2 linked regions of the Mus musculus genome follow. The protein of the gene in region 1 interacts with the protein of each later gene in a pairwise test. Links are inferred from orthologs where the notes say so. Each region holds a gene or a part of one and is shown on either strand. Other genes may lie near its edges.

What was found. The genes of interacting proteins can lie anywhere in the genome.
Region 2: the proteins of Dcp1a (region 1) and Rita1 interact in binary tests that used the Homo sapiens proteins (3 or more experiments, as listed by UniProt). The two-hybrid records come from large-scale screens. The link is inferred for Mus musculus from reciprocal best matches to the Homo sapiens genes DCP1A and RITA1.

Annotation. Positions count from the first base shown.
Region 1 is NC_000080.6:30,482,560-30,486,155, reverse strand, and holds part of Dcp1a (mRNA-decapping enzyme 1A), read right to left. Parts: intron 1,698-3,596; coding exon 1,570-1,697; intron 1,563-1,569; exon of another isoform or gene 914-1,562; intron 1-913. UniProt on the Homo sapiens protein: Necessary for the degradation of mRNAs, both in normal mRNA turnover and in nonsense-mediated mRNA decay. Removes the 7-methyl guanine cap structure from mRNA molecules, yielding a 5'-phosphorylated mRNA fragment and 7m-GDP.
Region 2 is NC_000071.6:120,609,704-120,613,907, forward strand, and holds the start of Rita1 (RBPJ-interacting and tubulin-associated protein 1), read right to left. Parts: upstream 2,887-4,204; 5' UTR 2,571-2,886; intron 2,372-2,570; exon of another isoform or gene 2,277-2,371; intron 2,027-2,276; 5' UTR 1,944-2,026; coding exon 1,675-1,943; intron 260-1,674; coding exon 1-259. Other genes in the region: ATP-dependent RNA helicase DDX54, read left to right, coding at 3,433-3,603. UniProt on the Homo sapiens protein: Tubulin-binding protein that acts as a negative regulator of Notch signaling pathway.

The sequences.
Region 1 (3,596 bases):
TACAAGAGTTAAAATCCTGAGACATAGTTTACTGAAAAGTCAAGAGAGAGATCCTATTTTATGTAGATACTTAAAAATGAGCAAGAAATGCTGGGTGGCGGCGGCACATGCCTTTAGTCCCAGTACTGGGGAGGCAGTCAGGCAGATCTCTGTGAGTTCAAGGTCAACCTGGTTTACAAAGAGTTCCAGGACAGGCAAGGCATCCAGCTTTCTAAATCACCACTCTGTTTTGGTATCTCTCCTGGGTCAACAATAAGCAAACTGTCCTGTCCTCAGTCACACTTCTAACATCATACTTAACTATCAGAATGCAACGTACACCACGTTCGTGTTGGCTGGAGATCCAACCCAAAGCACATGAACACTAAGTGTTCTACCACTGAGCTAAAGCCTTGATCTTCAACTATACTTTCTTGTCCAGATGGTCCCATACTTATGATAATCTGACTTAAGTTTTTTCCCCCCCCTTTGGCTTATAAATGTTATGAAAGTAGTATGTACTGAGTAAAAAAAAGTTTGGACTGTACATTTCCCTTGTGATAGGAATAGAAATAACACAGTGGGATACTTCCCTCAGTACTGTACAGTAACAACGAGTCACAGTTCCCAATCCCATATGATCACGGTGGAGGAACAACTGATACTTTATAGTATACTGTGTTGCTAAGCTCTGGCATTCAATAGCTTAAGTATATTAACAAACTTTCAACTTATGATAGCTCTACCAGCAAGTAATGCCACTGGTGAGGTGAGGAACATCTACACTCTTCTGGAAAGGGCTACTCTGAGCTTTGTTGACTAAATTCAACAGCTATTACAAACTGTAAAAATGCCTGACAAGACCTTGGCCTAGAATTCTCCAACTAAATGTATGCCATACACCTCGAGTCTTGTCCCCAAACCACGTGCGTACCCGGCATAGGTTGCTCTCTATCATGAAAGCACAACGGCTTTGGCACAGAATTTGTACCTACTGGACACTATTAGACTCGTGGGTTGAAAGTGTCACCATCCATGGTGAAGGGCTTTCTCTGTGGAAAGCTGAGTGTCTGCGCTCACTGTGTCTGTCAGACTAAGTTTTGTTGCTCAGGGACAGCAGCAGACAGCTCAGCCCTACAGCAAAACAAATGACATGACAGCTCATAACATACACAACTATGATGCTAGCAACTGGCCTAGATGGGACAGTTCACTAAAATAACCTAAGTCAGTTATGTGCAAAGGCCTATTCAATTTTAGAGCTAACTTAAAATGTTTGCTTTTTGGGGCTGGTGAAATGGCACAGCTGGTGAAGGGACACACCCTCAAGCCTGACAACCCGAGTCATACCTGGAACCCACATGGTAGAAAGATAGAATGCCTGAAAGTTGTCCTCTCATCTCCACACATGGGCTGGGGTCTCTGTGCACACATACACACAAACACTCATACACATAAACATATACATTTAAAAAGAATTTGATCTTTTACCAAGACACACATTTATAATGTAGGCCATATTTAGTATAATTTGAAACCCAATGTTCTGAAATTAAAGTCACTCTGTTAAATGCAAACAGATATACTCACAACTTGCATTTCTATACAGAAGAAATGGTTCATGGAGCTGAAATTCCAAATCTTTATTCACTGGCTCAACCAGATTGTGCATGTTCAGTCGGTTGACAATGGTAAAGCCATGGTAAGGCGAAGCTGACCTTAGATTTAAACAAAGAGAACACACGTTACCTTTCACTCTGAGGAAATGTTATCCTTTATTCTCATTAAAAAGAAATTCCTAATTGCATCATACAACACGATGAGCAGCTAAAATCATAACCAAAAATACAAGGCTGGGGATATAGCTCAGTGGCAGAATGTTTGCCTAGCATGAGAAAGTCTGGGGTTTACGCCTCAACTCTTAAAAAAACAATTAAATAAGACATTTCCTTCTCTGCACCTAAGTCTTCAAAAAGATTTATTTCCTCAGCGTAAAAGACAAGTCACCAAGGTTCCCACCCCACTTCACCTCCTGTGAGTCACACTTCTGCCACACTGGGGTCCCTGCCACTACCTGCAGGTTTGTTTCTACCTCGAGACCTCTGTCTGAACTGTGGCCTCCAAACTGGCAGCAGCATCTCCTCTCCAGCAAGTATTTGCTCAGACGTCACCTTCTCACCCTGATACCCACCTATTCTCAACTACTGTCTCCCTCCACTACCAGAATGTAAACTCCATGCAATTGAGGATTTCTGACTTTTGTTTTTTGTTTTTTTTTAATACATGTAAACCAAGATTGATATAAACATGTAATAAACTGATGCTTGAAGAATATTCTTGAGATAGGATTTTTGTGTGGCCCTGGGCTGTTCTGGAACACTCTCTGTAGACCAGGCTAGCCTTGAACTTGGAGATCTACCTGCCTCTGTCTCCCAAGTGTGGGATTAAAGGCATGTGCTACCAGTACCAGGTTTTTAAAACTATGGTACAAGTCTATGCCTGCCACTCATTACAGCAGTAACTCTTCTTACATTAAATAGTCTTTGTAGGTTTTTCTTGAGTTAGATGGACCTGACCTTTACAGTAAGAATGCTTTCAGTTTCCTTACCAAGGGGGTCCACCACACAATGCACTGCAGATTCTCACCTAACACTTTACAGTTCTCATTTGTTTCTGTAGTATCATGGGGGAGAAAATGCAATCCAGTTCTACCGACTAAGAATCAAGTTTGCAGAATTAAGGCCCATGCCCAAAGCCACACCAATTAAAAACTCCAAATCCAGTTTTCTTTTTTGATTCCTGCAAAGTAATACTATGACATTCTAGTGTACTTTTACCCAAGGTACAGAAAATGTTCAGTTCCCAAAGAGAGGCTCTTAAGCCTCCTTTTCTTAGAGCCAATGCTATAAGTTATACGAATTGTATTAAATGAAGTTACGACACCACATTTCACATCTCCTCTAATAGATCTGTTTTAGTCTTTTAAAGTTAGACCTGTAAATATCCCCAAATGTGCAGACAGTACTGTTCTAATAGTAAGGGGTTCTTAGAGACTTATATTGCTAATGAAGAGGTTAGAGTTAGACCTTTTTTATTTTAGAGAAGGAAAATAAAGTAGAGAAAACAGAGTATCAAAGAAAGAGAAGCTTGTCATACAAACATCAAAATACTTTCATTTAAAGGGGAAAGTGTATTTAGATAGAGCACAAAGCTCTACACTAACATTTAGAAGAGCACTCAATTCTTATAAATTAGCACCAGTGGAGGAAGGCTGTCCAAAAAAGAACTCTACACAAAAAGAACCATGTATCAGGAACCTTGCTGCTACCGCTCTAAGTTCTAGAACCCAAGGAAAGAGACTTGCCTCTAAGAGCAAATGCTCTAGGTATCTAGGAATACAAGGGTTTCACGACCTGGCTCATCCGTGGGTTGCCCTTTAGGCCTCTATGTTGCCAAACAAGGCAAAGTTGTAATCCTTTACAGACCAACAGTTTAAAAAATTAATTTTCAGAAAAGCTTAAAGTAAAATATATATGAATTAGGAATAGCCTAGAACTTTGGGAAAGAAGCAGACAGGGGCAGAACCAGGCACAGAATGCAAATTCTTATCAGACACT
Region 2 (4,204 bases), on another chromosome or scaffold:
GCAGGGAACACACAACCCATCCTGGGATGACATCTGGGAGCCTGCAGTCACTCTGGGCTCTGTCCTGGAGGGTCCAGCTGGGTGAATGGCTCGCAGAGGGGTCTCCCTGGGGCAAGGTGTGTGGCTGCCCCTAGGGGTGGCTGGTGGGGTCCAGAAAAGGGTCCGGAGCTTTGCAGCATCCCCCACGGCCATCCGAGACCCCTCCTTGCTAGTGCCAAACAGTGACTCATCGCAGTAGGATGGGGCATGGCCAATCAGCCTGAAAAAGGGAAGGGCACTGTGACCGGTGGTGGCGATGATCCTAAAGCCCTCTGCAACCTCACTTCCCACGATAAAGTAAGGCAGCAGAGCCTGCCTGGTACCCACAAATAAGCCTGACATTCTTTAATACAATGACAGGTATAGGTCCAAAGCAGCTCAGGGCTTCCCGCTCTCTTCTCCTGGAGACAAAAGGACAGATGACAGACCCCTTCCTGAATCTGCTCAGCTCCAGATTAATGGGAGTGATTAGGCCCATTAAGTGCCACATAAACAGAAGTAGCAGACACTGTCGCTTAGGGACAGCAAAAAGGCTCAGTGGGTAAGGGTGCTTGTGGCCAAGACTGGCGGCCTGCAGCCTGAGTTTGATCCTCCGCATGCACGTAGTAGAAGGAAAGAACTGACTCCAACAAGTTGTCCTTTGGCCTTTACCAGTGCACATCCCTCCCATCCCAAAACAACCAAATATAAATGTACTTTTCCAAAAAAGTCTATGTGAGCTCAGCAGAAATACATTATTTTTGCTTGAATAGTTCCCCTCCTCCCCAGAATCTCCTTTAATAAATTTTTATGGGGCTGGCGAGATGGCTCAGTGGGTAAGAGCACCAACTGCTCTTCCACAGGTCCTGAGTTCAAATCCCAGCAACCACATGGTGGCTCACAACCACCCGTAATGAGATCTGACACCCTCTTCTGGTGCTGTCTGAAGACAGTTACAGTGTACTTATGTACAATAATAAATAAATCTTTGGGCCGGAGCAACCAGGGCTGAGAGAGTGGGACGGACCAGAGAAAACAGGGTTGGTCCAAGTGAGCGGGGAAGACTGGAGCAAGCAGAGGTCCAGGTCCTAAATTCAATTCCCAACAACCACATGAAGGCTCACAACCATCTGTACAGCTACAGTGTACTCATATACATAAAATAAATCTAAAAAAAAAAAAAAAAAAAAAAAGAACCAAGGCGCTTGGCCATGGCCACACAACAGGTCCCTAACAAGCTGTTCCAGGAGACCTGACGGCTACTCTGGTGGTCAGTTTCAATTGCCAACTTGGCAAGATCTGGGATCATCAGGAAGGAGAGTGGCAGAGAGCAATCAGCTATGTCAGGCTGGCCCGCTGCCATACCTACGATAGACCTTCCCCTTAGTACTAGTGTTTTACCTGCACATGCCTGGGGTGTCAGAAGCGGGGGATGGGGGTCAGATACCCTGGGACTGAATAAAAGCAAGAGAGTGTGCTGAGCATGCAATGTGACCAACCATCTCCACCCCACACTGCTGTGACTTCTTATAACCAAGGAGAGCAACTCAAACCCTTTCTTGCCCAAGTTCCTTCTGCCAAGAGTATTTTATCACGGCAACCAGGAAAGGGACCAAGACAGCCACCCTTAAAACAGGAGTGCACCCCCCACCTTACCTGTATTTGTTTTTCTTCCTTGGTGTGAGGTTTGGGGTGCTGCCCCTGGAAGAGGGGGACTCACAGTCTCTCTTGGCCAGAGAGCCCTTCGGTGGTCCTGGGCCCACTCCTCTGGATCGGTTACAATTCTGCACCCAGGGTGGGTCAAAGTCTGGTTGGGCAGGTCTGGTTCTTGCTGGGCTGCCAAACAGGGTCTCATCCACATAGGATGCCCTGGCCTTGACCCTGTAGCTGGTGGGACTGCGGTGCTGAAGGTGGAGGGCTTTCATTCCGCTGCTGGGCCGGTGCCACCGGGGTCTTCACGTTGCCCAGTGGGTGTGGTGTGCCTGACAGACTCAGCCTCCAGGGCTCCCTGTAATAGGGGTCGGAATGAGCAATCAGCTTTTCCAAGTAAGAGCAGCAGCTTGGAATAACAAGCCCAAGGGCAAAAAGGGCTTTTTCTTGCTGAGGGAAAGCGACTGGTTTTTCTCAAAGGACTACTGTTGTTCAGTGGACACCTTGGAAGTGCTTCACTTTCTTGCCCGTCCCCGACACCCAATTTCAGTAGTCCAAGGTGGCCTGAAACTCACTATATTAAACTTTATTATATAGCCAAGAATGACCTTTAACTCCGGATCCTCCCGCTTCTACTTCCCACGGAGAACTGCACGATCGCCTGGCGTCTGAGGTGCATGGGTCAGGCTAAAGCAGGCACTGTCTTTTTAGTTGTGAAGACGGGAGAAAATGCCGTCAGCAAATATTTAATGAATAAGTAAATACACAATTACACCCTACAGTGTATGCTCAACAAATATAGTACGACTGCGGGCGTGCAGGGGAATGGCACCAACCAGACAAACTAATTAGGGTGGAAGAGGGAAAGGGGCTCCCAAGCTACTGTCGCCCCCCATTCCTACCTTGTGCAAAGCGCTTTGCAAACGTGGTGCGTTCCAGTCCTCGCCAACCAGTCTCATACGAAATGCATTTTCCCCGAGTCCAGCTCAGGCTCCCAACAGCAGAGTAGCAACGCACCGGCCAGCTTACAGAGCTGAAAGCGCAGGCGTCACGGGATCTCCATGCCTGGTGCTTTTTCTCCTGGAGCCTCCGGCCAGAAAGCTCTGTCTCCGCCACATTTAAAGCCTCATAGCACAGAATCAGCAAGGGCGCCACAGCGACACGCGCCCACCCGCATCCCTTGCTGGGCAACCGGTGCGACGCCCCACCCCTGCGCACTGGTACGTCCCTATACCCCGCCCTCGCGCTGATGGTACGTTCCACAGGCCACACCCCCAGCCTCATCTGTACATCCATTAGGCCCCGCCCCTTGGTAGGGTCAACCTTGCGTGGTTGGTACATTCCTCGAGTTTGTCCACACGTTCAGTTGTTATGTCCCTCAGGTCCTGCTCTCTTTACAGTTACCACATCTCTCACAGCTTGGCATTCGCGCAGTTAGTAGGTCCCTTAAGCATCTATCACGGTTCAGTTGACACATTCCGCCCCCACCAGTTGGTATGTCCCTCAGGCCTCGCCTCTGCCCGGCTGGTACACCACTTAGGCCCCGCCCCCGTTCTGTTGGTTCCTCCTTCTGGCTTCGCCCATTGATAAAGCCATGTTGACGCTCCGCCCCTGCGAAGTTGGTTGGTTTCCTCAGGCCCGGCCCCGCCCTACGGGTGAAACCTGGATTCTCGACGCCGCTCTTGCGTCTCACAGGCTCCGCCCCCGCGCAGTCGACGCGTCCCTTAGGCCCCGCCCTCTTCCGGGTCTAAGAGCCCGGCCCGCATGGCTGCTGGCAGACGTGTGGGACCTGGCCCGCCGTCGCGTCCCACCATGGCGCCGTGGAAGAAGAAGAGGCTGCGGAAACGCCGAACTGGGGCTTCCCAAGGCCGCGACAGCGACTCGGATGACGGCGAGTTCGAGATCCAGGCGGAGGATGACGCCCGGGCGAGGAAGGTAAGAGCGCGAGGGGGCTCCCTGTTCGGGCTCTCGGCCTGCGCCCTTCCGCTTGTCCGTCTCACTAATCGCGGTCCCTCATTGGGTCCCTTCGCGTGGGGGACGGGCTCGAGTTTACGCAGCCAATAGAAAGTGCAAGTGCGGAAGGTCCGCCTGAGTTTGGGGCGGTCTTAGATGAGAAAATTAAAGGGAAGGCCGGACCACTCTTCTGAGAAGCCGGTTTTAAACTAAACTAGTATTTACGGACTTATGTCGTGCTCTAGCTATGCCAGGCTCACCAGCAATGTCAGGGAGGACAGCAGGATTGGAACTGGGGATGGTCCGGTTCCAGTTGTATTCATCTTGGGGGATAGGTGTGATCACCAAGTGGGGCACAAAAGCCTATCGTTCATGACGCCCATCGTCTTGTGCATAGCGGGTATATCTGGTTCTCCATTTCTCCTTCCCAGCTCAGTCAATGAGCTGCACTCGTTAAGTGGTCAGTAAATGTGCAGAGACAGCTAGAGGCAATGAGAACGCTGGTGTTCATTGGCAAATACAAGAAGGCTGCTCCCGTGGTTCAGACCAAGGGTTTTGCTGAGGCCCAGTCCGGCACAGGCTG